Linked DNA regions of Canis lupus familiaris. The protein of the gene in region 1 interacts with the protein of each later gene in a pairwise test. Links are inferred from orthologs where the notes say so. Each region holds a gene or a part of one and is shown in the gene's direction. Other genes may lie near its edges.

The links.
Region 2: the proteins of MAP2K3 (region 1) and PDGFRA come close enough for resonance energy transfer, tested with the Homo sapiens proteins (2 studies listed by BioGRID). The link is inferred for Canis lupus familiaris from reciprocal best matches to the Homo sapiens genes MAP2K3 and PDGFRA.
Region 3: the proteins of MAP2K3 (region 1) and RASSF1 come close enough for resonance energy transfer, tested with the Homo sapiens proteins (2 studies listed by BioGRID). The link is inferred for Canis lupus familiaris from reciprocal best matches to the Homo sapiens genes MAP2K3 and RASSF1.
Region 4: the proteins of MAP2K3 (region 1) and FGFR4 come close enough for resonance energy transfer, tested with the Homo sapiens proteins (2 studies listed by BioGRID). The link is inferred for Canis lupus familiaris from reciprocal best matches to the Homo sapiens genes MAP2K3 and FGFR4.
Region 5: the proteins of MAP2K3 (region 1) and ARNT come close enough for resonance energy transfer, tested with the Homo sapiens proteins (2 studies listed by BioGRID). The link is inferred for Canis lupus familiaris from reciprocal best matches to the Homo sapiens genes MAP2K3 and ARNT.

Annotation. Positions count from the first base shown.
Region 1 is NC_049226.1:42,962,862-42,967,896, forward strand, and holds part of MAP2K3 (dual specificity mitogen-activated protein kinase kinase 3), read left to right. Parts: intron 1-566; coding exon 567-680; intron 681-895; coding exon 896-1,015; intron 1,016-2,362; coding exon 2,363-2,479; intron 2,480-3,314; coding exon 3,315-3,366; intron 3,367-4,726; coding exon 4,727-4,854; intron 4,855-5,035. UniProt on the Homo sapiens protein: Dual specificity kinase. Is activated by cytokines and environmental stress in vivo. Catalyzes the concomitant phosphorylation of a threonine and a tyrosine residue in the MAP kinase p38.
Region 2 is NC_049234.1:47,415,836-47,421,666, forward strand, and holds the start of PDGFRA (platelet-derived growth factor receptor alpha), read left to right. Parts: upstream 1-2,357; 5' UTR 2,358-2,621; intron 2,622-3,626; exon of another isoform or gene 3,627-3,904; intron 3,905-5,569; exon of another isoform or gene 5,570-5,591; intron 5,592-5,831. UniProt on the Homo sapiens protein: Tyrosine-protein kinase that acts as a cell-surface receptor for PDGFA, PDGFB and PDGFC and plays an essential role in the regulation of embryonic development, cell proliferation, survival and chemotaxis.
Region 3 is NC_049241.1:39,420,051-39,425,837, forward strand, and holds the start of RASSF1 (ras association domain-containing protein 1), read left to right. Parts: upstream 1-2,212; 5' UTR 2,213-2,227; coding exon 2,228-2,477; intron 2,478-4,336; coding exon 4,337-4,443; intron 4,444-4,824; exon of another isoform or gene 4,825-4,983; coding exon of another isoform or gene 4,984-5,136; intron 5,137-5,787. Other genes in the region: ZMYND10 (zinc finger MYND domain-containing protein 10), read left to right, coding at 39-139, 467-639, 861-986, 1,069-1,190, 1,311-1,436, 1,525-1,600. UniProt on the Homo sapiens protein: Potential tumor suppressor. Required for death receptor-dependent apoptosis. Mediates activation of STK3/MST2 and STK4/MST1 during Fas-induced apoptosis by preventing their dephosphorylation.
Region 4 is NC_049225.1:37,137,630-37,143,183, reverse strand, and holds the start of FGFR4 (fibroblast growth factor receptor 4), read left to right. Parts: upstream 1-1,973; 5' UTR 1,974-2,157; intron 2,158-2,426; exon of another isoform or gene 2,427-2,557; intron 2,558-2,679; exon of another isoform or gene 2,680-2,812; intron 2,813-4,708; exon of another isoform or gene 4,709-4,712; 5' UTR 4,713-4,761; coding exon 4,762-4,852; intron 4,853-5,525; coding exon 5,526-5,554. UniProt on the Homo sapiens protein: Tyrosine-protein kinase that acts as a cell-surface receptor for fibroblast growth factors and plays a role in the regulation of cell proliferation, differentiation and migration, and in regulation of lipid metabolism, bile acid biosynthesis, glucose uptake, vitamin D metabolism and phosphate homeostasis.
Region 5 is NC_049238.1:60,666,142-60,671,819, reverse strand, and holds the start of ARNT (aryl hydrocarbon receptor nuclear translocator), read left to right. Parts: upstream 1-2,455; 5' UTR 2,456-2,616; coding exon 2,617-2,641; intron 2,642-3,480; exon of another isoform or gene 3,481-3,504; intron 3,505-5,678. UniProt on the Homo sapiens protein: Required for activity of the AHR. Upon ligand binding, AHR translocates into the nucleus, where it heterodimerizes with ARNT and induces transcription by binding to xenobiotic response elements (XRE).

The DNA of each region.
Region 1 (5,035 bases):
CTCTCCTAGGCCAATGTCCCTCCCTGACACGTGTCAGTGTGCAATGTCCTGCTCATCTAATAGCTTATCCTTTTCTTGTCTGCCTTACAGTAGAGGGCAGGAGGGGGAGCAGGTGGCCTCGGGCCACACTGCTTACTGTGAGGGCAAGACCTTTGTTTTGTTCTGTATCTAGGGCCTAAAACACCTTGCACATGGCAGGTACTCAGTTGAGTATACCAACAGGTATACCAGTTGAGTGAATGATCCTGTCCTACCCCCTGAATAGAGTGGGGGGCAAGAGGAAAAGGGCGTCTCTTGTGCTCCTGGTGCCAGCTGGGGGCATTTCATAGGCGGTCTTATTTCTACCTTGCAATAGCCTTGGACGTTGGCTATGCCTGCTTTATAGAGGGTGAGGAGTCCGAGAGGTTGAGTTACCTGCCCCAGGTCATGCAGCAGAAGGTGGTTGGTGTAGGATTTGAGTTCAGATCTCACTGACTGGCTGCTTCCTCTTCCTGCTGCCCAAGCACTCCACTGGGAGAGTGACTCCAGGCTCCTGACTGTGGTCTCTCTTTTATTTGTCCCCCAAGAACTTTGAGGTGGAGGCCGATGACCTGGTGACCATCTCAGAGCTGGGCCGAGGAGCCTACGGGGTGGTAGAGAAGGTGCGACATGCCCAGAGTGGCACCATCATGGCTGTGAAGGTAAGCAGGGCCCCACCCCATCCCTGCCCCAGCCAGCCAGGGAGCTCCAGGCCACGGGATACCTGGGAGGGGAGGCTTTATGGAGGAAGCATGAGGGGCCGAGCTGGTGGTACTGCTTGTGGGAACCCGTTGGAGCTCCTAGTCTTCCTATAGGGGATGGTGAGGTGGTTACCCTCTGCCTCATGGCCCCTAAACTGTGACCCTGTCTCCCGCAGCGGATCCGGGCCACCGTGAACTCACAGGAGCAGAAGCGTCTGCTCATGGACTTGGACATCAACATGCGGACGGTCGACTGCTTCTATACTGTCACCTTCTATGGGGCCCTCTTCAGAGAGGTGCGGCCCTGGTGGGAGGGTGGGAGGTGGGTGCTGGGCTGCAGGCTGGGGGCTCAGGCTGCCCCATCCCACCTTCCTTCTGTACACCTGCCCCACTCTGGCTACCCTACAATCTGTTGTTGCTCATGCTGGGCCCCCCACAGATGCTTGCTCAGCACCCCTGTCCCCTGTGTGCCAGGTACTAGGCACAGCAGTGGGTGAGATGGTGCATGCAGAGTTTTTGGGAGCTCAGGCAGTCTGGCTCTCCTGCTTCCTGCCTTAGTTTCCTTGTCTGTGAAATGAGCAGTAATTATATCCACCTCACAAAGATGCATGAAGATAAAATGATGTGACCTAGGGCCTGGCATTCCCTCTGCCTCTGGCACCACCTGCTTGCTTCACTAGCATCCAGGCTGGCAGCATGGGCTTCCGAGCAAGGGCACCAAGGAGGTGTGCGCAGGTCCAGTTCTTGGTCTGTGGGAAGGATGGGTTGTGGGATGAGAGAGAGGTCAAGGGTGATGCCAGGGAGTGTGGCTAGTTGCAGTGGAAGGACGGGCTCCTGCTGGCTGCTCCCTGAGCATCCACCCGTCCCCAAGCATGCTTGGTGCTGTGGATCCAGTGGTGGGTCAGCGCCTCATTGTCCACTAGTCTGGTTGGCTAAGCACCTGCTGTGGGCCAGGTGCAGGCTGCTCCTCTTGCTGATGGGAAGAGACGCACACCTGGGCCTCTCTGTGTGCTGGGTCAGAGTTGCAAGGGAGGCATGTGGGCCACATAATCCCTAAGTCCCCCAGGGAGAGGCCATACCCAGCCTTCTCAAAACACTGTCCTGGAAGATAGGTAGGAGTTTGTGGGGGAGCTGGGAGTTGGGGAGGCCGGGCTCTGCAGAAGAAGAAGGGAGCAGTCTATCAAGGCCAGAGCGAGGATGACCCCATGTGTGTTTGGGGCCACAGTGGTTGAGGTTAGGAGCATCTGCAGGGCTGGGTCATGGCCCCAAGCTGCAGCCGGGCCTGAGAGCCCGCTTTCGGAGGGACGCAATTAGGCGTGTGTTTTAGTCATTTCTTTCTAGAAACTACCATGGAATTAGGGATTAGGTGCAGGAGACCAGAGGCAACAGAGCTGGGTAAGGCTGGCAGGTGTACTGCCCACTAGTATACATAAGCATGGAAGGTGGAGAAAAAAGTAGAAAATTTTGGGGTGCAGAGTAGGAGGTAAACCTCCCAACTCGGTAAATCTCTGTGGGCTGAAGTAGAGGGGCCTGACCATTGCTGAGAGCCAGGCATGTGTGGACTCAGCACCAAGACAGGCTGTCCAGACACCGGTGTACAGCCTCGGGCTGACACAGGCTGACCTCCAGGTGTCCTTCCACAGGGAGATGTGTGGATCTGCATGGAGCTCATGGACACATCCCTGGACAAGTTCTACCGGAAGGTGCTCGATAAAAACATGACCATTCCAGAGGACATCCTGGGGGAAATTGCTGTGTCTGTAAGTGGCCTTGGGCTTGGGAGGGGTTGGGGGTTCCAGGTATGTAGCCAGGGGCCCCAGCCCTACCCCAGCAAGTGCAAAGCCCAAACTAAGGTGATAGCTTGGGCAGAGCTGGATCCCTAGTAGGGCCCTGCGCCTGGGCAACTGCCCTGCAGGGAGCCAGCTCTCCCACCCTGCATAGAACTTTCTTGCTGAGGAGACCCCAGATCCTGGGGCTACCAGAGCCACACCGATTTGGCAGATCTCAGGTCTCTAGCTTTTGTGTGCAACTCCTGAGCTGTCTACACTATTTTTTACAAAATGACTTAGTATTTACAACTTCCTCCTGCCAAAAATGCCCTGAGGCAGTTCATAGAGACGCAAGCTATGCTGGGAGGAAGCTTAGCATCCACACTGTTTGCCTTTTGAGGTAAGATGTTTCTAGAGCAGGGTAATAACACTGGGCTTGAGCATCCTGGTAGCCGAAAGGAAAAAGGAAATGCTTCTCAGTCCTGACTACATCTGGGAACTTTTAAAACATGCCATACCAGAGTACTGAGTCATGATCTTTGGGGTACTTCTCCGGGTACATCATTTCCCTGTAAAGGCTTGGACCTGAGACCCTAACCTGTCGGGTGGGTGGGAGAAAAGTGGGAGGCTGGGTGTGTCTGCACTGAGGTGGCCATACACCAGGGTGAAGGTTGGGATGTGGGCAAGAGCCCGGCAAGCTGCGGGGTGGGTGTGTATGGGTGAGAGGGAGACAGATGGGCACGGCTAGGGGGTCTCACAGCTCTGTCGTGCTTGATGCAACTAGGAATAATAGCCTTGTCTTTTCTCCTCTTGCTCTGAACGCCAGATCGTGAGGGCTCTGGAGCACCTGCACAGCAAGCTGTCGGTGATCCATAGAGGTCAGTGCCCCACTGCGGACTGTGTGGGAGGGGCCTGCAGGCTGCAAGGAGGGTGCAACCTCAGGTGATAAGTAGTGAGTGGTGTGCCCACTAGGGTCATGAGTTGAGCCTGCTTCCCAGTCCAGGCCACTGTCACTTCTGCCAGCTGTTGTCTTTAGGTCCCTCGGTGGTTTGCTGGTACTAGGAGCAATGATGGGGCTTTCATCCTGGGAACGCTGACTGAATTTGTTTTGACATATTGTTTATGTATCATGAAACACACAGATCCGTAGCTAGCATTTGATGAATCTGTTCAGAGTTTACACCCACATAACCCTGGCCACTTTCAAGACTCAAGATGTCCCACCTTCTACCCCACCCCAGAAAGTTCTCCGTGCTTCTTTTGGTCAGACCCTGCCCCTATGTCCCCTCTCCACATCTTGTCTGGTGTTTCCCACAGCAAATCGGTTTTACTTATACTTGAACTTCGCATAAATAGACATGGCCTCTCTCCGGCCTCTTTCCCTTGGCCTAATGTTTCTGAGGCTCACGCGGGTTGTGTGTGTGGTAGATCCTTCCCTTTCACTCTGAGTGGTTCACTCACCCAGGCATATTGCTTTTCACCAAGTGCATTAGACCGAGCCGGCTTTGACTGCTCTGCGGCCACCCCAGCCCCTGCCCCCAGGTCACCACTGTTGGCAGGTCAGCATGGAACCTGCTGGTCCTTTTCCTGTGCATTTCTGTCCTTATGCCCATGCCCTGTAGGAAGGGATGGAGGTTGCTCGTGTGTTATATATGCTTTTGCTGGAAGAGTCCCTGCTGTATGCCCTGTAGCCTGCTCTGCATGGACCTCGAGTTGTAGCCTGGGCTCTGTGTTTCCACAGACCCCTCCGTGTCCCGTGCTTTTGCTGCTGCCCTGTGCCTCCTGGCCGAAATGCCCAGCCTCTCAGCCTGGACACTGGGGGGCTTCCGGGTCTGCAGCCTGTCAGTGGTGCCGTCCCCCAGCAGATCCCCAGCACAGGAGGACCCCGGGGCTAGAGGTTCCACCAGGAAACAGGCAGAGTCCTGGCTGCACAGCCGGGATGAGCCTCCCCCTCTGGACCTTGTGTCCAAAGTGCTGACAAGGCACAAAGATGGGGTCCAGGTAGAAGCTCATGTCCATCCCCACTTGTGGCCAGTGGCCAGGGCGTGTTCTTGCTGTTCTGCTCCCATCTTTGCTTCCTGGGACTGGGAGAGCACCTGGTAGAACCTCATGTCTCCTCTACCCCCCTGCCCTGGTATCATGTGCCCCTGCAGTGGTTGTGGCATCGAGGAGCCTGTTGGCCTCCTGCAACGCCCCACAACCCCTGAAGGCACAGAAGATGTGTTCTATCCCTGGCAGACGTGAAGCCGTCCAATGTCCTCATCAACAAGGAGGGCCACGTGAAGATGTGCGACTTTGGGATTAGTGGCTACTTGGTGGATTCTGTGGCTAAGACGCTGGACGCTGGCTGCAAGCCCTACATGGCTGTGAGTGGTCCCCATACCATTCTGAGTCCCCAGCCACAGCTAAGGTTCAGGAGGCACCTGCCTGGGAGAGCATTTTCAGGCCATGTCCTCTGTCCATTGGGGACAAGGCCTCCCTGAGGCTCTCTATTTCCTACCACAGCGGGGGTAATCTGCTGCCCAGCTTGGCCAAGCAGCCCCCCTC
Region 2 (5,831 bases), on another chromosome or scaffold:
CCCTCCCCGCCCGGGCCCGGCGCGCCGCAGACCCGTCCTCTCCCGAAGGCTCGGACCCGCGGCGGAGGGCGGACGGCAGGATTCAAACCCGCCTATGAGCCGTGGGAGGCGCGGGTGGGTGGTGGCTGCCGGGGCAGGACGGGTGTCGAGGCACGAACCGCCTCTTTCCAGGGCCTCCAGCCCCCAGGTGGCTCCCGACCACTGGGTTTATTTTGCTTTTGCAGGGGAGGCAGATGTTGACCTCGCTCCGTCTTTGCTCGGCCCAGACTCGACGAAATCGTCCCCCGCCCCCCGCCCCCCAACCATTTGCTTCCCTGCGCCACCCCCCACCGGTGCGCTATCCCGGGAGTCAGCATCCCAGTCCTTTAAACCTTCTGGAATGTCACACATGGAAACCTTTAGCAAATGTTTGTTAATGATCATAACAAAGGCATCATTCAAATTAGGCAGGTAATTACTACCAGAAGGACAACTGGGTGCGCGCTTGCTCATCCATTCTCCATGCTTCCAAGTCGAGAGGAGTTACGACCCGAAGACACCCCCCTCCAGTCCCCCCAGCCCAGCCCAGCCTGCTTTTCAGGCCCCTTTAAGCATCTCTGAAATGAACTGTGAAGTTACCATTTGTGGGCGGGGAGCCCAGTGTTCAGGAGACCCCGGCGCGACTGGGCTGGCAGTTTCCCAGAGCAAAGCAGGCCTTCCTGGGTAGGCTTTCTACCTTGCCTCCTCGTCTTTGGGGTATTTGATATAAAAACTCAGATCTCAGCTTGTCTTTATTAATAGCATGAAAGCCAGCCCCCGCCTTTTCCTATTATTCCGCACGCTGAATTTTTTTTTTTTTTTTTTTTTTTGGTGGGGGGAGAGGGAGGTGCCGCGCGGGCCGGTTCATTATCTACAAGCATTACGGTATCCTGTTAGCATTCCGAACAAGAGGCTGTTCATATATTTGCCTTCAATGATTTCCTGAAGGAACATGTGGAAGTAATAGTGAGCAGTGCAGTCACCCGGACTGAAGATGCACGAGAGGCGGGCGCGCAGAAGAGCTGGGGTGGGGGGTGGGGTGGGGATGGGGCCCCTGGCCCAGCCCCGGGCGTCTTCCCGAGCCGGACACCCCAGGAGCCCATCCCGGGGCGGCACAGGACCCCACACTTTTCTGTGTGACCCTCCCCTGCCGGCTGCTCCTTGTCCCCCCTGCTGATGCGGGAGGAGCTGACGGCTGTCCGACGTTCCAGGCTCAACCTGGACGCCCTGGCCATTCCGAGAGTGCGGAGGTGGAGAGGGGGTGGGGATCAAAAATGACCCCTTCCACCCCACCGGAGAAGGCGCTCCCCTCCCCCTCCGTCCCTCGCACGCCCCACTCGGCCTCCTAGCCCGGTTCCTGGAGCGTCAGCGCCCCCTTTCCTCCGCGAGCGGAATCGCGCCCTCCCGGTACCGTGTCTCGCCTCGCGCCGTGGGGTGGGGGGGGGGCGGGCAGAGGATTTGGGGTTCAGCTCAAGCCCTAGGGCGTCGGTAAGCTGCGTGCTCTGTGGCGGGGGGCGGGAGGGGGGTGCGCGGAGGTGCACCTTCCCCGGGACGCCGAGGTGGCCAGGTTGGCCGCAGACGATTCCTCCCAACGCCCAACCCTGAGCCTTATTTCGTGTGCAGGATAGAAGCCAGGGCAACCTCGCCCGGGTCCCCCCGCCCCACCCCATCCCCCCAAAACAAAGACGCGACAAGATAAGTGGCTCCGAGGGAGTAAAGGTCGTTCTGTCGGGGAACGTTCCAAACCTACGCAGACCCTCGAGTCTTTGCACCTTCTTTCAAACCCGTTTACAAAGCAACACAAAACAAAACCGAAAACAAAGACCATCATCTTCCCACTGGACCCAACAGTTTGCCTGATACCATTAAAAGAGTCAGCGACTACCCGGCACTTTCCCTTAAAAGACCCCCAAGTTGTAAAGACGCAACCGCTTGGGGACCTCTCCGGACAGGCCCCCCAACTAACTAGCAGTTTCTACGGAAGGGACATTTCTCGATTCCAGATGTACACTCCTCCCGGGCATTAACTGCAACTTCGCGAGTTGTGTTTCTTTCCAAGAGCATGCAGAGCAATAGGGCAGCGTAGGAGACTATGCCCCTACATCAGGAGGCCGACTCCTTCTGGAAGTGATGGGCAGTTGGTATTTTCACGGACCTCTTTCCCGGCAGAGCATCAACACCTCCCCCCTTCCACCACCCCCACCCCATCTGGTCTGCTTCTCCCCGCCCCCCCCCCCCAGTTGTTGTCGAAGTCTGGGGGTTGGGGCCGGACCCCCTGATTGCGTAAGAGCGAAGAGCGAAGGCGCAATCTGGATGCGTGGAGGCTCAGAGCGCACGGAGTTCGGGAGAAACTTTTATTTTGAAGAGGCCAAGGAGGGGGGCGCTTCATTTCCTGACAGCTATTTACTTAGAGCAAATGATTAGTTTTAGAAGGATGGACTATAACATTGAATCAATTACAAAACGCGGTTTTTGAGCGCATTACAGTTGGAGCTAGAGAGAGAAAAACAGAGAAGGGGACTACAGGAGAGAGGACTGGAAGCCGTGGACACTTTTTGCTCCCTATGTAGGATTTTCATTACGAATTGACATAGGAGGAGAAGGTAAGAAAGGAGAAAAAAATAATGATTTTTTTTGTTTCTAAGAGAAGTCCTTGATCAGGCCCCTTTGGGCTGGAAGTGAAGGAACTTCACTCAAACTTTGGGCGATGAGGAAAAAAAAAAAAAAGGAGTGGAATTCCAGCTGTGTGTCCAGAGAGTCATTTATTTTGAATAAACTTCACTTGGAGGAAAGATAACCATAGAGTTAGAAAGTCTAGGGATTAAAAAAAAGAAAAAAAGAAAAGAAAAGAAAAAGCACACATTTTCCAGGCCTATTTTTAAAAGCAGTGTTTTTCTAACAAGTCCATAGCCTCCCGAAGAAATTTGTTTTAGGCTTACATTTTTGAGGTTTCTTTTTGGGGCTGGGGGGGGGGTGGTATTCGTGTATACCGGGACGGGCACCAAGTAATGCTGGGAGTGGGGGCAGAGGTGTTTGCCCTCTTCTTGGCAGTAGGTCCTGGAAGGCGACAGGTTTTTAATGAGTATTTTCATTCCTCGCCCGCGGTTTGGCGGGACAGCGCTGCAGCCGGCGGTGTGGAGCGCGGCGGGGGCCCTGGGTGGGGGGTGGGGTGGGGGGAGCGGGGCGCCGAGTGGGGCGCGCGCCGGGCGGCGAGGAGGGGAGGCGTGAAGGGCTCGGCTGGAGCGGGGCCGGACCTGGGGTGCCAGCCGGGGGCGCTTGGCGCCGGCCGAGGGCGCGTAATTACTGGACGGCGCAGCGCCGGGTGCGAGCCGGGGCCAGACACAGCACCGCGGCGGCGGCTGCGAGGCGCGCGGAGGGGGCGCGGGCGTGGGCGAGGGGTGGGGGGGGGACACCCCGGCGGGGTGCGTGCCGGATCCGCGGGGCGGGAGCGCGAGCGGGCGCCGGTCCCGCAGCGCGCGGGGGTCGTGCGCCCCTGTGCGGGGGCGCGGGCGCGGGCGGCGGGCGGGCGGTCTGGAGTAATGACAAACACATTTGGCCCCGAGTGAAGGAGTCGTCGTCGCCTCGCATTCCAGCGAGTGGGATTTGAGGAATTTCGAACCGCGCTCCGAGGGGCCCTCATTGTGCGCTGGGGTCCCCACCTCCACTCCTCTCCGCGCGCGCCCCCTTTCCTCGGTGGAATCGTTTTGGTTTTTTGCTTTTTTTTTTTTTTTTTCTTACACCCCCGCCCTCCCCTTTGCAAAGTCCGGGACTCCTCTGCTGCCCGGTCCCGGCCACAGGAAGGAAAGAAGGAAGATCGCCAGAAAAGTGTAGAACTTCTCTTGGGGGAAGTTAGGGACGCCTCGGAACGGAGAAACTGGGTCCCTAGGTAAGAGGAAGATGGTAGGCGAACCGTGCTCCCCACCTCCCGCCGGGCACCTGAGCCCAGGTCCGCACCCCCCCCCGCTCGCGTGTCCCTTTCCTCGCGGGGATGCGTGGCACTCGCCGCCCGCGCTCGCCCTGCGCTGCTGGGGCCGCAGTGCCCGGGTCTGCCCCACTCTCTGCGCCGGCCTCCTGGGCGGCTTGGGGGGGGGTCCCCTCCTCGCGCCCCTCCCTCCTTCTCCGACCATCCGCGTGGAAATCGGCTTTTGCTCGTGAGATTAACTTCTCCGGGGTGGGGGGACCGGCGGCGTCCACTTGGCTCGGAAGCAACTGGGCTCAGCGGTCCTGGTCGGAAAGGGTCGCAGCCGGCTGGGAGCCAGAGGGACCCGAGGACGGCCGCCCTAGGGGCCGGGGGCCGGGGGCCGGGGGCAGGGGCCGGGCCGCCGGGCCAGGTGTGCGGGAGCTGCAGCGTCCTGGCCAAGCCCTCGGAGCGGGAGAGGCGCTGGCTGCCTGTGGGTTGGCCGCGCGCCCTTCCAGCGGCCGGAGCGCCGGTCCCTCTCCCCGCTTCCCTAACCCTGCGAAGACCTCGGGCTTGCAGAGCGGGCGCCTGGGAGGGCCGGCCGCTCCCTCCACCTCCCAGGGTGAGGCCGACCCGCGCCGAGCGGGAGCCTGGATGGCCTTTAGCGGGTCCGGACTGCCCCGAGCCCGGCCCAGCTGCCTGGAAAAGCCCCGGGCTGCGCCCTGTGGGAAATGGCTTTTTGGCTCCGCAGCCGAATTGCTCAACGTTTTGGAGCGACTCGTCTCGCCGCAGTCGCTCCCGAGCAGAACTAAGGCAGCTTTTTTAGGGCCGGGGACATCCGGGGCACACGGGCACGACAGCCAGGCGCAGGGCTCCCGGGACCCACACCCCCGAGCGCGGCGCGCGTCCGGGCTGCTGGAGGGAGGGACAGGCGCTGCCGGCTGGCGCGCCTCGCCCGCACCCCTGGTGGCTCTGGTTTTAACACCCCCCACCCCTTTCCCTGCGTCTGACCCGCTCCCACTCGGACCCTGGCGCCTGTGCTTCGCATCCCTTCCCAGTTTTCCTTTCCTCCTTCCACTCTCCGCCTGCCTCGCTCCCCGCCAGGCGAGGGCCCGTCCTTTCTCGCCTTGACACCCCGCGCTGTCCCTGCTCCGAGGCTCCCACACAGTCTGGTTTTTGGTTCGACCCAAGCGTAGCTCGAGTGAGTCCCCACAGCGGGGATGGGGGTGGGGGCGGGAGGCAGAAGGAGGAGGTCGGGGTGGGCGTAGGGGGGGAGGCTCCGGGAAGGAGAGGGTGGGTGACCCTCGGCCCTCGCACCAGCCCTTAGGGGGACCGAGAGGGACCCAAAGCAGAACCCCGGCTCCCGGCCCCAGGGCTGCTTTCTTCCCGGGACGCGGACTGGGGAGGGGTGCAGGGGGAGGAGCATCGGGCCAGGCTTTCCAGCTGCAAACGCGTCTGGCGCCGAGGCGGGCCCGTCCTGTGCCTCCTGGGGACCGGCCGTGGGCGGCGCGCAGCGCCTGGACGCGTCCTGCGGACGTGGTGGCCAGCGCCTTCCTGCACACCCCGCAGGGTGGGACGCCCTCTGGCCTGCGGGGAGCTGCGACCGGGTTGCATGTTGCCGATGGACGAGCGGCACTTCTGGGGGGGGAGCCAAAGCCTGCTCGGGGACCGAAAGGTGCGGCTCTCCGCGTCCCTGGAGTGTGGCCGGCGGGGCCCCCGCGCAGCACCAGCCGTCGGGGTGCGGGGGGGAGGCCCCGCGCGGTTCGCGGGCTGCGGCCAAGTGGCTGGTCCCCCCTGCGCTCCGGCCCGGGCTTTGCCGGTCCACGCCGCTGGCCGAAGCGGCTCTGCGGCGTTTCCTTTTGTTTTAACCTGAAGAGGGAACCCGGAATCGGCTGGGAAAAGAGATTGGGGTAGC
Region 3 (5,787 bases), on another chromosome or scaffold:
TGTAGCCGCCGCTCACTTCTCTCCACCACCACCCCTAGCCTTTCCTTGAGCACCTTGAACTGCATGCTCAGTACCCACAACTTGCCCTGCCTCCTGGTGGAACTGCTGGAACACAGTCCCTGGAGCCGACAGGAAGGTGGTAAGGTCTTCCCCACCCCCTTGCCTAAGCCCCAGCTCATGGCTTCCCAGACATACCCCAGGATTGATGGGGACAGGCAGCTTGCTCACAAACTGCCCGCTAGCTCATAGAGGAGCCCAGAATGCCTCACACAAACTAGCTTAGACCTGGGCTTTGCAGCAGGTAAGGCCTGTGTGTCCACTGCTAAAGACTCACCCCGCTCTGGAGCAAGCAGACACCAGCCTTGGTGAGTCGTGCACCCGGGCAGCACTCAGGACCCCAGCCCATTCAGTTGGCTGACTCAGAGTGTGTAACACCTGCTCCTAGTGTTCTGGCTCCTCTCTCCAGGCAAGATGCAGCAATTTGAGGGTGGCCGTTGGCAGACAGTGGCCCCCACAGAGCACCCAAAATTGAGCAAGTTGGATGGGCAGGTGTGGATCGCCCTATACAACCTGCTGCTAAGCCCCGAAGCCCGGACCCGCTACTGCGTCACCAGCTTTGCCAAGGGACAGCTACTCAAGGTGGGGGAGCTCCTCCTGCACCAGTGCCACCCCATCCCACCCTGCCCTGCCCCACCCCTGCTGCTTATCACTGCCCACCTGCCTCAGCCCCAGTCCTCTTTCCAGACCCTGAAGCTCAGGTGTCGCAGCAGCTAGTGGGACGTGGTCCCCACAGGCACCCCAGCCCAGGCCCTCCCTGGTCAGCACCACTTCACACTGGCCTTCCCTGGACTCCCTTGCAGCTTCGGGCCTTCCTCACAGACACACTGCTCGACCAGCTGCCCAACCTGGCAGACCTGCAGGGTTTCCTGGCCCACCTGGCCCTGACGGAAACCCAGCCCCCAAAGAAGGACTTGGTGTTGGAACAGGTAGGTACCAGGAAGTCAGCTGCTCAGGACTACTGCCCACCTTGCCAGCTCCTCCCTGACACTTTCCACTTTTCTCTCTCAGATCCCAGAAATCTGGGAGCGGCTAGAAAGAGAGAACAGAGGCAAGTGGCAGGCTATTGCCAAGCACCAGCTGAGGCACATATTCAGCCCTTCAGAGCAGGACCTGCGACTACAGGCACGAAGGTGAGGCCCACTGAGTGGGCAGAAGGGATAGGAGGGATGCAGAAGGCATGGACACAGGCAGAGGTGCTCTTGTGCCCCCACTGGCCAGGCACAGCCAGCCTTTCCTGACCTCTTTCTTAGATGGGCTGAGACCTACAGCCTGGACGTCCTAGAGGCAGTAACCCCAGAGCGGCCCCGCTGTGCCTACTGCAGTGCAGATGCCTCCAAACGGTGCTCACGGTGCCAGAATGAATGGTATTGCTGCAGGTGAGGGTATCCTAGGAACTTGGACCCCTAAGCCCCACTTCTATACCCCGCACAAGCACTGCATGCTTACCAGCCCACCTGCCTGCAGGGAGTGCCAAGTCAAGCATTGGAAGAAGCATGGAAAGGCTTGTGTCCTGGCAGCCCAAGGTAACAGAGCCAAGTGAAAGCTGCAGCTGCTGAGGGCCAAGCACCCATGCCCTACAACCCACCCCCAGTGTGCCCTTGAACCTCTCGAAACCTCAGCCAGGGCTCCAGCCTCCCAGGTGGTGAGCAGAGCGAGCGCCGCGAGGTAGTGAGCACAGCGAGCCCAGCAAGCTGCTGACCCATCTTCCCCAGTAAAGGCTGCTCGCTTCCTGCCCTACCCTGCGGGTAGGCTGAGGGTGCTGCCTCAGCAGCTGGAGCGGGAGGCCTGGGCGAGGCAAGACAAGGGCCGGATGTGGGGACCCTGTGCCTCTAGCACAGTAAAGCTAGTCTCTAGAAACAGCCTGTCTCCGAGTGGCCCTTCTTGGTGGTCGTCGTCTTGGGACGGGGGGCGGGGGTGGGGTGCACCCGGATGCAGGAAGAAAAGGAAAGGGAGCGCCGGGACTCTGCGAGATCGCCCCCCGCCCCTACTCCGCCTGCGGGCCGACACAGCCCGGGCACCCGGGTTTGCACTGCGCCGCTCGCCCTGGTTCTCTCGCCGCCCAGCCTAGATCCCGGGGGCGGCGCCGCCTCGCGGCCCGCCCCGCGGCCCCGCCCGCCCCGCGCTCGCTCGCGCCCAAAGCCGGCGGGAGTCCGGGCCCGACCCGGCCATGTCCACCGAACCCGAGCTCATTGAACTGAGGGAACTGGAGCCCGCGCGGCGCGGAGGTCCGGGCCGCAGCCGGCTGGAGCGAGCGAACGCGCTGCGCATCGCACCGGGGACCGCGCGCAATCCGGCACGGCAGCTGGTCGCGGGCCGCGGCCACCACTTCCAACCTGCGGGGCCCGCCACGCACACGTGGTGCGACCTCTGCGGCGACTTCATCTGGGGCGTCGTGCGCAAGGGCCTGCAGTGCGCGCGTGAGTAGCAGCCCCGCGCGCTGGGAGAGCGAAATGCGCGGCCAAGGGGCAGTGCCGTCGCTGCGTGTCAAGTCGCAAAGGAGGGGGTCGGTCGGCAGGGTCGGTTCCTAACTGGCAGTGGGCCAGGTCCACTGCCTTTGCTCCATCGTGTAAGAAAGTGCAGGCAGACAGATGGTTTATAGCCTTGTTCTATACCACCTGCATTGGGCGCACATTTATGCAGAGGCGGATGCCTGTGAATAACTATGAACAAGGTGCTGATTTCAAGCTTTTTATCTTTTAAGTGCCTTGGCTCTTCTTGAGAAGTCTGTATTTCGACCAATCTCTAAGTCCATGTTCCCAAGCCTGCTCTTTCCCAAAGATTCACTCACTGCCCCACCCCCCCAGAATCTCTGGGAGGAGGGGGAATTTACCCACCTATGGAGGCAAGCAGGGAAAAAGTACCTTGGGTGGGTCTTCTACAAGCAAGAATTTAATTGAGCAAATACCTATTGCAGGCCCAGCCAACCAGGTGCTAAAACACAAAACATCACACACCAGCAGTCTTTCTGCCAGCAAGCAGAGGCTGCTGTCCCCCTGGCTATACACCAGCTAGAATTGGTTGGGATTTTACAGCCCTCCAAACCCCTATGCCTGGACTTCAGACCTGTTGAATCCATCACTAGGAATGTATCAGCAATTTACAAAAAAAAAAAAAAAAAAAATCATTTCAGTAGGCAGCCTGGAATTGAGAGCAATTGAGAATCACTCCTCTGGCCCATTTAGGGATTTAGAGAAGGTATCCTAGGCCTATGTAGGTGTAGAGACCCTCTCATCCAGTACAAGAGTCTGTCCTGAACACCAGAGCTGTGACAGAAAACCAAGCATGAGCAAGGGCTGAGACATTGCAGTGATCCCATGGAGAAATAAAGTGACATAGGGATGAAATACAGGACAATGTGTCAGAAGCAAAGAGAAGAGAGGGATCAAGGGTGATTTGGGATTTTTGCCTCAAACAGGGACAGTAGTGATTTTTGCTAAGATGAGAAGCTCTGGGGAGAGGAGAGGGGAGGTGAAAGAAAAGTTGGTTTTGGTCACATTGGGTTGACACAGGCTTTGATCTGAGGAGGGAGGTTAGGGATGGAAGACTTGGATCTGGGGTTGTACACAGAGCAGGGCAATGGCAGTGATCAGGATTGAGTCTCAAACACTCTTGCCCATTAGATCTGGGAGTTGAGGCAGAACCAAAGAAGCTGAGCAGGAGCTGCAGGGCATGGGAGGAAAACCGGGGCAATGGGGGGCCCTGGAAGCCAAGGGGAGCAAGCATCAAACGATGCTGGGGGGCATGGTGAGGATGCAGAAGGGATCTGGCATTGGAACGTGCACAGGTTGCTAAGGACCCTAACCATTATCCTGGAGGGAGGATCAAGCCTGACTGGAATGGGTAAAGGAGAGAGTGAAGATGAGGAATTACACTGTGTATGCAGATAAATGATATGTTTTGGTGTGAGGGATGTAGACAGATGACAGCTAAAGGGGTTAAAGGGTTAAAGATTTGGGGGGTTTGCCCTTCAAGTAAATGCTGGGGGCGGGGGGGGGGGGGCGCTTGACAGTGCGGAAGGGGGATCTCCGTGCTAGAGATCCAGCTATTCAACCGGCCTGGATCCCTAACCGCCTGAGGCCTTCCCGCCAGTTTCCAGACGTCGGGAGACCAACACTAGAATCTGCATAGCAGCGGCAGGGTACCCGGGCCGTAAGACAAGGCGGGTCATGCAAAGCCTGGCGGGCAACCGCCTTCGTCCCGGGGTTTCTCTGCCGTCCCCGGGATGCTTCTCTGAACTGGAGCCGGGGCTCCGCCTCACGGCCAGGCCTCTCTGCAGATTGCAAGTTCACATGCCACTACCGTTGCCGCGCGCTTGTCTGCCTGGACTGCTGCGGGCCCCGGGACCTGGGCTGGGAACCTGCGCTGGAGCGGGACACGAACGTGGTGAGCGCGGGGCAAGGGGTGGCGTACGGAAAAGGTGCGCAGACCAGCCGGCCACACGGCAGGAGTTGCTTAGGGCCGCCCGGTTACGCGCAATGCGCGTTCGAACAGCGGGTTTTCCCGCGGCCGAGAGCGGCTGGAAGGGGTACCAGGGATGCTGACTCCGCGCGGATTGCCCGGAATAGCCGAGGCTCCACGCCCGCGCAATTTCCGCACCTTCCCGCATCCGCATCCGGTCGTGCAGCCACGCTGGTGTACATGCGCAGACGCGCCGACTTGTTCCCCAAAAGAGGTGTGGTCTGCGAGGCGGAGCCGAGCTGGGCTGCCTGGGCTATGAGGTCACTCCTGGAGGCGGGGCGTGTGTGAACCCGCCCCTCGAAGTCCCCCCCCCAATGAGAAGGGAGCCAGATCGTGGCTGTCTACGTCTCGGCGTTAACGGTTGCGGCGCGAACCCTGATCCCAGCGCACGCGCACACGCGTCTCGGGCGGTGGTTGGAGGCCACGGGCGCACGGGGCTCGAGGAGCTGGCGGGCGGGCGCGGCGATGGGCGAGGTGGACGCGGGGACGCCTTCTTTCGAGATGACCTGGAGCAGCACGACGAGCAGTGGCTACTGCAGCCAGGAGGATTCGGACTCGGAGCTGGAGCAGTACTTCACCGCGCGTACCTCACTGGCGCGCAGGCCGCGTCGGGACCAGGTGGGGGCCGGGGTTTTGGGCGGCGGGCCGGTGATGATCGCCAGGCCCCTGCGCCTTTCCGCTGAGTTGCCGGCTCGAGTCGGTGCGCAGTCCCTCTCTCCCATCAGTGGGGATTCCATACCGGCCCGGGGCCCGCCCGCGGAACCGTGTGCCGGGCTCTCGCGCCTCGGTGCCGGGCGCCGAGGCCTTGTCGTCTCTGTCACAGACCGGTTGAACCAGGGGAAGCAGCTACGTGGCTTGGGGTAGACCCGGGACGGGCATGATCCACCTATGACTAAAGCCGACTGCGCAGTCTGGACGAGCACCTCGGTTTCTGCGTTCGGACGCTCCCACTGCCTCTGGGGGACGGGGGTGGAGGTGGGGGTGGTGGGAGGAAGTGGAAGGGGAGGTGTCCTCGCCGGGAACTGGGAAATGTGTTTAGCAGGAAGGTTCGGGCCCCTGCGTTTGTACTCCTGGTCGGAGCCAACTGAGTCCCCACCTCTTACCCAGCTTGGCCTGCCACCAGCTGCTGGAAAGTGGAGGATTCTGGAGTGGACCTGCCTGGAGTGCTCGCTTCGGGAGCACATATACTAAAATTGGTGTGGACCTGTAGGAAGAGTATTTGGGAATGGATGGGCAGGAAGCCTAGTTCTGGACTGTTAGCAAACAGGA
Region 4 (5,554 bases), on another chromosome or scaffold:
GTTTGTTCTGGAATGTTCCATAAAGATGAAGAAATAATGAGTCCTAAATAACCAGAGTTAACATTACAAAGCAAGTGCTATACACCGGGCAGTGTTCTAAAGGCTTACACATGTCTACTTTTTGCAAAAGCTTCATGAGGAAAATACTATCATTATACATACTTTACTGATGAGAAAAATGAATGCAGAGATGGACTAACCTGCCAGGGTTGCTCCAAATGTAATGGCATTGAGATTTGAGTCCTGAAATCTGTGCTCTGAATCACTTCACTTCTTGCTTCTTTCTCCATGCTCATAGGACAAAGGCATCTAAGAAGAACCTAGCAGGTCCAGAATGCTTCTCTGAAGAAGTGAGCTGACCATCAAGAATCAGATGGAACCAACCAGTCCTAAAGGGGAAAGATCATTCCAGGAAGAGGGAACCATGTGTGTAAAGGCCAAGAGGGTAGAATGGGAGCAAGGAAGAATGAAGGACTTGTCTGGAGATGTGGACAGGGGCCAGGTCATGCCAAGAATCATTATGGGAAGCTAGTAGAAAGTTTTAAAGGAGTAGTAGATACATTCAGATTTGTATTTCCTTTTTTTCTTTTTTTAAGATTTTATTTTTGGGGGATCCCTGGGTGGCGCAGCGGTTTGCCACCTGCCTTTGGCCCAGGAGACCTGGGATCGAATCCCATATCAGGCTCCCGGTGCATGGAGTCTGCTTCTCCCTCTGTCTATGTCTCTGCCTCTCTCTCTCTCTGTGACTATCATAAATAAATAAAAATTTAACAACAAAAAAAAAAGATTTTATTTTTAAGGGGCGCCTGGGTGGCTCAGTTGGTTAAGTGTCTGACTTGGCTTAGGTCATGATCTCAGTGCCTGGGATCCATCCGAGTATTGCTCCCTGCTCAGTGAGAAGTCTACTTGTTCCTCTCCTTTTGCCCTTCCCCCCTCAAATAAATAAAATGTTTAAAATTTTTATTTTATATTTTTATTTTTATTTAATTTTATTTTATTTTATATTTTTTAAAGATTTTATTTATTTGAAACAGCACAGGGAGAAAGGTCAGAGGGAGAGGGAGAAACAGACTCCCCGCTAAGCAGGGAGCCCATCTTTGGGCTCTATCCCAGGACCTTCGGATCACACCTGAGCTGAAGGCAGACGCTTAACCAATTGAGCCACCCAGGCGCCCCAAAAGATTTTTTTAAGAGTTTATTTATTTGTTCATGAGAGACACAGAGAGAGGCAGAGCCAGGCAGAGGGAGAAGCAGGCTCCATGCAGGGAGCCCGATGTGGGACTCAATCCCGGGTCTCCAGGATCACGCCCTGGGCAGAACGCAGGCGCTAAACCGCTGAGCCACCCAGTGATTCCCCAAAAGATTTTATTTTTAAGTAATCTCTACACCCAACGTGGGGTTCAAACTCACAACCCCCGGATCAAAAGTCGCATGCCCTACTGACTGAGCCACTCCACTGACTGAACCAGCCAGCCAGGCGCCTCCAGATTTCAAATATCACTCTAAGTTTGTGCAGAGAATGGATGGGAGTGGGTGGGAGCAGACGGGGGTCTCCTAGCCACTGTTTGGTGATTGCACAGAAAACAAGAGTAGCCAGGTTGGGCCAGAGTCTGTAGGGGCTAGCGGGTCAGGACTGCTGGGTGTTACCCTCTAAAAGGGGTGAAGAGCAGAGGTTGGCGCAAAGAACCAGAACCTGGAAGCCTGGTCTAGGTGTGGCAAAGGAGGCGGAGTCTGATGGGGTGTGTAGCAGGCTGAGGTAGGACCCCGGGATCACGCTGGCCCAGTTGGCCATTAGGCTTTGTTGGGTTTGGGGACTGGTCTCCAGGGGGCCGGACGCCGCGTCCCCGTCGTCTCGATAGAGCGGGTCCGGAGGGGCCGGAGATGGGCGGGCGCCGGGTGGTCCTCCCCCAGCCGCGGTCGGGATGGAGCTGGTCCAGGAGGGGCGGGGCCCGGGGTGGGCGGGGCCTGGGCCTCCCGCGGCCACGCCGCTGTCGCGGGTGCATTCCTGACTCTGGCCCCGGGCGGAGGAGCGCCCCGGCTGAGTCTGCGGTCCCCGCTGGGCGCGGGTGTCGCGACTAGCCGGAGCCGGGAGCGGGGCCGAGGAGGGCCCAGGTGAGCTGGGACCCTGTGTCTGGAGCGGGACCACGGAGGCTCGAGGTGAGCGGGACCCCTTGCGGGCTCGGGCTGCGCTCCCCGCCGCCAGAGGGCGAGCGGCAGCGGGGCTCGCGGAGCTGCCCCCTCCTGGCACTGGGGACCTGGGCGTCCTCTAGGAAGGGGGGTGGAGGAGAGGGTAAATCAGTAACCCGCAGCGCACACAGGGCCTTTTGTCCCGCTCCGTCCAAAGAGCACCCTGGCCGTGGAGCTGGTTACTCATTGCCCACCGGGGCGGGGGCGGGGGCGGGGCGGCTGTCCCTGCAGCTCCCCCTCCGGACCTGCCGACTCGCACCTCCCCCCAGGGTGGCCGGGTAAGGGTGGAGAAAGAAGAGCGCGCTGGTCCCTCGGCTGCCAGGCCGTCTGCGTTCCCCGAGTAGAGATGAGGAAGCTGAGGATCCGAGAGGTGCAGTCATTTGCCCAGGGCCCCCCTGCGCTCCTCCCTCCAGCCGGAGGAGAACCCAGGACTGTCTGATTGTGTGTAGATCCTTCAGCCCCTGAGTAAGGCGGTGGGTTGGTCTGTCAGAGGCCACGTGTGATCCGACTAAGGGTTACAAGGTCCGAGCAGCCTGGGTATAGGAATAAAATCCCCAGGTCTCCCTGACCCTCTCCCAGCTCGAGGTGTAGACCCAGAGGGCTGCTTCCCCTGCAGCAGAGCAAGGTGAGGTGATTCTATGGAGGAGGGCCATGGAAACTGGGGGTGGGTGCAGGAACAGTGGCATCTAAGTCAGGTGGAGAGGAGAAATGGGGACACAGAGGTGTGTCTGCGCAAGAGAGAAGACATGCCCAGTTTTGAAAGCCAATGGCTTCAGTGCTGAAGATGCTGAAGGAGCAGACTGTACAACCGAAGATACCCACAAGAGTAGGGAGGGAGGCCTAGAATGCTGGATGAACTATAGATTGGATCCTGCAGGACATGGGTAGCCATTAAGGGCTTAAAAGCTGGGGGATATGGGGTGGTGACATGGCAGATTCTTGTGATTTCTAAAGCCCTGCAAGAGAGCAGAGCCTGGAGTGCCAAGGGAGACATTTGCAAAGGCCCAAGCCAGAGATGACTATGGCCTGCCCTGGGTCCAAGCAAGGGAGGTGGGATGGACTGGAGAAGGATTGAGGAGGCAGATGGACTGGAAGTGGAGGGAAGGGGGAAGGGGGATGGGAAGAGATGATGCCCCAGCTGCAGGGGCAACCCAGGGAAGGAGCAGGGTTGTTTGGTTTTTTGTTAAGATTTATTTTATTCATGAAAGACACAGAGAGAGAGAGAGAGAGAGAGAGAGACATAGGCAGAGGGCGAAGCAGGATGCTTGCAGAGAGCCCGATGCAGGACTCGATCCCAGATCCCGGGATCAGACCCTGAGCTGAAGGCAGACGCTCAACCGCTAAGCCACCCAGCATCCCGGGAAGGAGCAGTTTGAAGGGGTAGATGACAGCTTTGGTCAGGACAGGTGAAGTGCTCCCTGCCTCAGAACCAGAGCTGGAAATGGGGCAGTGACTGAAGAGAAAGGGTGCAGTGGGCTTCCTGGGCAAGGTAGATTCAGAGACACCAGTGTCTCCTGACTGTTAATGAGTTCCAGGTAATAGCCAGTGGTCCCCTGGGACTACATTGGTCACCTCTTCCCCTGCCCCAGCTGAGACTGTTTTGAGTGTTCCTTCTGGGGGATGGGGAGACATCTTTGGTGTCAGAAGAATAGGGTGGGTGTGTGATACCTGACAAGAACTGCACCAGAATTGGAGGTAATTGGCCAAAGGTAGACCTGGGGTGACAGTCATGGAGAGGGAAGGGAAGAACGTTCCAACATTCTGTGTTCCCAGCCCCTACATATGGTCTCTTTTATCCTCAAAGCAGTCCTTTAAAGATAGCATCCAGAGAGGAACAGGAACTTGCAAGTTGGTAAGAGTCCGGATTTGAACTTGGCTTTGTCAGACATAGAGCCCAAGTCACCTCAAATGGAGTTGTGAGGACACAAAAAACAGATGCATTCCCAAGCGTGCAATTCTGGTTCAGAATGAGGAAGAACTTCTCTTGCCATGGAATGTGCTGCTTTGTTAGTAGTGAGTGCGCTGTCACTGAAGGTATTCAAAGCTGGTCAGGAAAATGTCAGCAATGCTATAAGAAGTGTGGGTCAGATCAGATAACATCCAGATGCTAAAGTTTGGCCTTGTATTATATTTCTTTTTTTCCTTTTTTGAGGGGTGGAGTTCTTCAGCAATAAATTCATTTATTCAGCAAAAAATAAATTACGTGTGCTGAGAGTGAGCAGAAGATATGTCTCCTTTTTCTGCTTTCCTCCAAGGAAAGAATCCCCAAACTGCCCTTTCTGTGAACCTGTGCCAGAGTCTCAGCAGGACTGGAGGAGAGCAGGAAGCCCAGCCCTGCCCCCTGAAGAAGCTTTGGGCTCTGGCCACAGCTTTTAGTCTCTGCCTTGCTGCTGCGTGATGGCGGGGAGGGCAAGGCTTGGACAAGTCCTGGCCACTTCCTGTCTCAGTTTCTTCATCCACAAAATAGGAGAATGGCAATGCGAAATGTGCAGATCTATCAGAAGTTCTCCCTCCCTTTCAGGAAGGCAGTTGGTGGTAAGCCCAGCCTGGGTCCTTGTGATCAGCAGGAAGGACATGTGGCTGCTGTTGGCCCTGTTGGGGGTCCTGGTGGAGGTGCCTGGGGCTCCAGCTTTGTCCCTTGAAGCCTCTGAGGAAATAGAACTAGGTATGGCCTTTAAGGTGGTAGAGGGTGGGCTCGGTGGGCACATGGAGGGAGCTACTAGCTGAGCAAAGCTGGAAAGGATCCTGGCCCAGTCCCTGAGGAGGTGACAGCAGGGCAGGGCCCAACCATTGAGACTCAGTGTCTGGCTCCCAGCAAGCGTCCACCTATCTCTATGTCCACAAGAGAGGAATGGCCTTGCAGGGTGAAGGGTCCTGAGCTGGGCTGCAGAGCTGGTGGTGAGCCCCTGGCTGTGTGTGTGTGTGTGTGTGTGTGTGTGTGTGTGTTCTGTGCACTGGGTATATGGTTTGGGAGGCCCAGGAAGCATGTGTGGTATATGTACTGAGTATGCTGTGCCCTGGAGGTGTGGCATGTGCCCTGTGTGTAGCACCTATAGCATGTGTTTGTGTGTGTGTGTGTGTGTGTGTGTGGCAATGGCATGTCCAATCTAGCATGTGTACTACGCACTGTGTGTGTGATGTGCACCAGAGGCATGGCGATTGCCTTACGTATTGCATCTGTGTAGCATATAATTATGCGTGTATATTTGAGGAGCAGCAGGTGTCCAGCATGTGTCAAGGGGTACTTGTGCCCTGCCCATGCAGCATGTTCTCCATACACAGGGGGCTCACTCATCTGGGGCTTGTGGGGCTCACTGACCTCTGCCCTTGGCCCACAGAGCCCTGCCTGGCCCCCAGCCCAGAGCAG
Region 5 (5,678 bases), on another chromosome or scaffold:
TTCCATTTAGCATTTTACCTCCTAGATCCACTCACGTTTTTGCAAATGGCAAGATTTCAATTTTTTTTGTAATATTCCATTGTATACCATATCTTTATTTATCTATTGATGGACACTTGAGTTGCTTCCATACCTTGGCTGTTATAAATAATGCTGTAGTAAACATAGAGGTGCATATATGTCTTAGAATTAGTGTAACTTCAATTTTGAATGATAAACCAAATAACAAGTTTCTGGGCATTTTTCCTTATGTACTACATATATGCTGTGAAGTGATTCATATTATGTACATCATGGTGTCCACTGTCGGCAAATTCAAGGCTAATATTGCCTTTTCATGTTATATCCCAGGATTCTTTGTGGTGTTTGATCATGGATTTTGCTAATGGCTTGTTATACTTTCTCCAAGCAAAACACTTGTTAACTTTGTAGCTAGTTGTATCACTGAAACAAAATGACTTTTGCCATTTTTTAACCAGGGATGTAACTTGATCTTTTTTATCCACAAACTCATCCATTTCATAATGGAAAACATTATTTTGCATTCATTCTGGAAAAATACATTTTATAACGTAATGAGGTTATTGTAATTGGTTCAAAAATGACTTGTAAGTTTTGATGGCTTTTGGAGTCAGGGTTTGACAATACTTGTAGTGGGCAATGGACAAAAGGATTGTTGGTCCAATAAAATCCAATTTTTAGATAATCATAGTTGTGGTTTTTTTTAAAAAAAGATTTTATTTATTTGAGATAGAGCGAGGGAGAGAGAGAGAGAGAGAGAGCGAGCGCGCCTGAGTAGGGGGAAAGGCAGAAGGAGAAGGAGAAGCAGGCTGAGCCGACTCAGGGCTTGATCACAAGATTCCCAGGATCATGATCTGCGTTGAAAGCAGACGCTAAACTGGCTGAGCTACTCAAGAGCCCCATAGGTATTCATGATTATACTTTGTATTTACATTTTTATTTATTCATCGCTGCTTGGGTGAACTTATCACATGTAAAGGCACAAAACTCGAGTCCATATCTAAACTGCAGTCTTGTTTAATAGCTACCTTTACTACATAATTTTTTTTTCATAATTTTGAATTGAAATTCTGTACTTGTTAGTTTTTTCATCATTACTTCTTATGTGTCAATGTACTTCTTTAGAGTGGATGCTTTTTCTCTTTTGATGAATTGGAAATACAACACAATAAAATAACAAAGAAAAAATAATTTTAACAATGTAAATAATAATATACAAATTATGTTAAAATACCTCAGCGGAGATAAACTACTGATAAGGAGAGAAATGGATCAATGTAATCTTGTATTACATATGTAATCTATAAGAATGCAGATATACTCAAGAGCATAATGAAATTTGTTAAAATTCGAATTAAATTGATATTAAACAATAGGTGAAAGATAAGTAAGGTGGTAGTATATTGTAGTGCTAAAATATGTTCCTAGAGTCAGACTTCTTCAGTTTGCCTTGCACATCATTACTTACTAGCTGGTTATCACTTGCTTAATCTCTTTGCTTCTCTTTCCCTATCTGCAAGATGGAATTAATAATACAATCTACATCACAGTGTTGTGAGAACTAAATGAGTAAACACACAGAGCAGTTTGGATAGTGTCTGGCACGAATGCTTAGTGCTTCCTATTATTAAAAAAATCTGTTCAGTCCTCATCTTATTACTTCCCTACAAAAACCCATCATTATGTCCCTATTATTGACCAATGGAAGTCATCCCACTCTTAATCAGAATACCTTCTTTATACAACGCCTTTTGTTTTGGCTGTCGGTACCTCTCTCACCAGACCTTAAGCGCCCAGATTGTTTTACACGACCAGTTCCATACCAGGCACTCAAAAATTATTGAGTCTTTTTTTTCACCAGGGACAAAGGTCCTTAATGGAGGAAAAAAATTCTAGAAAGGATTACAAATCACTGTGTAAAGTTTAAGCATTAGAGCCACTAAAGAGGGTTTACGAAACAAATCGTCTGCACAGTTTTCAGCCAGGAAAATCCACCACCTAGGGCAGCCCCGGTGGCGCAGCGGTTTGGCGCTGCCTGCAGCCTGGGGTGTGATCCTGGCGGCCCAGGATCGAGTCCCGCGTCCGGCTCCCTGCATGGAGCCTGCTTCTCCCTCTGTCTCTGCCTCTCTCTGTGTCTATAAGTAAATAAGATCTTAAAAAAAAATCTACCACCTAGCTAAGCTTTTGAGTAAAAATGTTTTTCGCCTACGTCACTCGATCACTGACCTCTGACGCACAGGAGGCGGGATTAGAGAGAGACAGCTGGACTTCTTTTTTGCCCGCCCTCCTCCAATGGACTGGCGGGCACATTGGCCAGCCCTGCCTTTTGCATTCTCATTGGTCAGTTGCCCCGAGGAGGCGGGCTCTGAGGGAATGACTCCATCCACTCTTTGGGCGGGGTCCGTCCTCCGGAGGCTGGGGCCTGTCGGGGCGGGGTGTGTGTTACCGCAGCCGCCATCTTTGATTCCGCGGTAGCGGTGGCGGCTGTAGGGAGCCGCGTCTGGGGAGTGGCTCTCCCCTCCCCCTCCCCCCCGGTTCGGTGGCGGCGGCTCCTCCCACTCGGGGGGTGGCGCGACGGCATTGGCATCTACGGCCATGGCGGCGGCTGCTGCTAACCCCGGTAAGTAGACGGAGGACTGGGGCGCCTCTAAAAGGAGGAGGGGCTGAAAGGGTTGGCTGCTGAGGAGACCCAGGGCTGAGCGGCGGTAGTTGGGGCTGAGGGCGCTAAGACTAGCGGAGGTGGCCGACGGGTGGGGGAGGGGAATGGCGGGGGGAGGGGCCGGCCCTAGGGATCTGGGGAGACCAGAGGTGGAGGGAGGGAGTTCGTTGGGGCGAGTTCTGTCGGAGCGGTTCCCTTGGTTGGGCTTGGCCTGCCTCCACTGTCCTGGCGGCATTCTGCTGTGTGATGTGGTCCTTGAGCTCTGCCCACTTGAGCTGCTTGATGCACAATAACTGGGAAAATTGTCTCCTTTTACTTTAAAAGTGATTTAGATTTATCAACACTGGACCGCATTGCTGTTTAGCTGAGGTGTTGAACTTCCAAACGTTTAGACGTTTACATTTTTAATTTAAATTAAAAAATGTCTGGATATATACCCAGTTTCTCTAGGCTTAACATTCCCCCCCCCCCCCCCCCGGCTATCCTTTGAAACTGGCGTTTTTGTATTAAGTGCCTCCCAGTGTCTTCAGCTGCTGAGGACAAAAGTTTGAGTAATGTTTGGTGCTCAGGGCAGATGTTGCCAACAGCTAGCATTCAGAACCTGAACTTTAAATCTTGTTGGGTGTAGATGGAGGCAGTTCCCATTCTTTTTTTTTTTTTTTTTTAAGATTCTATTTATTCGTGAGAGACACCGAGAGAGAGGCAGAGACACAAACAGAGGGAGTACCAGGCTCCCCGCGGGGAACCCTATGTGGAACTCGGTCCCAGGACACCGGGATCACGACCTGAGCTAAAGACAGACGCTCAACCACTGAGCCACCCAGGTGCCCAAGCAGTTCCCATTCTTTAAGAAAAATTCGGTTCCATGTCATTTTTCAGTGAGCATCTCTTCAAAAGGGGGAGCGAGAATATTAAAAAAATCTAGGCAGTCATGTTTAAGCGATGGAGTGGGGTGTATTGCTGCAGGTCTAGACAGATCAGGTCTCCAAATTCCCAGTCCCAGATCGTTCCACTATGTTACAGTTATTTCTTCCTTGGAAGTATTTCGTTTTAGGGATCCTGGTTTACCTTGCAGACCTTGGCCATTCTCTTGTGAAATAAAAATTCTTTTCCGGAAATCTCTATCTTTGATAACCTTAAAAAAGAAGCCAGAAGTTCGGGGTGAATTACTTGAAAATACTGCGGTGAAAGGGATTCACAGTGAAAGGGTGTTCCCACGTTGAAACTGAAGTTGACTTTTTTCCGTGTATCTCAACTGATTATTATTTTGTGGTACCCAGGTTTTGGTATAGCAGTTAAATCACTATGAAGTTTACTGTCTTTACTACCATGTTTCTGGGAACAGAGCTATTTAAAGAAGTTAATTTGTCACATATCAATATCATATTGTAAAATATTTTAATTTTTTTTAGAGGAAAAGTAGATGAAATTAATGGCTAAAACTCTATTGGAAGAAGTGCTGATGATGGAATAAAATTGGAAAGATGCTATTATTATGGCAAACCTGGCCTTGTAGTAAAGTAACCCATGTGTTAAAACTAAGGAGTAAATAAATAGGGTTTTAAACTGATAACACATTGCAAAATAGTTACATAATCCTAGTCAAGTTGCAAAGCTTTTCTCTTGTTAAGATGTGGCCTGGGTAAACAAGTTTAGTGCATATGTCGGAAGCTTTTTTTCAGCAGTGTGGGTGGGGCTGCTTTATTTCATTTTATTTTTTTTCAACAACAGTGACCAGAATGTCAGCTTCTTGACCACATTTCATTAGCTGATTCATATCAGCTTAAATCTGAAGCAGAAAATGGTATTTATTTGTGTACAATCCTTGCTAGTGAAGCATATGATTTTATTCTATGACAGCCTGCTTCTGCAATTTTTAGATTTCCTTTTTGATGTTGAAAATTCTCACTTCTCTTCCAAATTATTGATACAACAACATTCAACACCTGGTAATTAGAAAATGTATTTTCTTCCATCATTTCTTCTTTTGCTCCTCTATATTCAAAAGGAAGCAATCATAGGTGTATTGTGGTCTTTAATAGCCTTGTTGAGTTTTGGGAAATGTGGACTACAAATAAAGGGACACAGGATGGAAATGTATTGCGCTCAGTGAAAAGAAGTAAATAAGGGATCCCTAGGTGGCTTGGTGGTTTCGCCCCTGCCTTCAGCCCCGGCCGTGATCCTGGAGTCCCGAGATCGAGTTCCGCATTGGGCTCCCTGCATGGAGCCTGCTTCTCCCTCTGCCTGTGTCTCTGCCTGTCTCTTTCTGTGTGTCTCTCATGAATAAATTTTTAAAAAATCTTTAAAAAAAGTAAATATTTTTGGAGCATCTGAATGGTGCAGTTGGTTGTCTCAGACTCTTGCTCCGGTCATAATCTCAGGGTCCTGGGATCAAACCCTGAGCAGGCTCTGACCTCAGGGGAGAGTCTGCTTGAGATTCTCCCTCTCTCTATGGCTCCCCGCATCTGAGCACGTGCTCTTTCTCTGAAATAAATAAATCTAAAAAAAAAAAGGAAGGTAAATGGTTTTCAGGTCAGAATTCTTTGTTTCATGGTCAAACATTTCCTTAGATCCATTTTAGGGACTAGAGACATCATACTTATTTCTTTGAGTTTTTTCTACTTTATCTTTTTGCTGGTTAAGATTCCCTGATATGTTAAGAGTTACATTGAAATAATAAGTCTAATGTGATAATGGCCTTTTCTCTGCATAAATTGATAATCCCCATGTTCTGTTATTTTTCACTAATTCTTCTTACCATTGGCAAATAATAGTGGGTGGGTAAGTGGTCCATGAAGTATTAGGCTGTCTTTTTTGTTATGAAACACTAACAGTTTTGAGGAATACTTTTTAGATTACATGCATGATTTGTAATGCATTGGCTAAGGCATGGATTGGGAAGAGATTAGGTATTTGACTTCCAACTCCATATTCAAAGCAGAAATAAGAATGAATTTGTAGGAGTATAGGTATGTCCTCCTCCCTTGATTCTGGTATT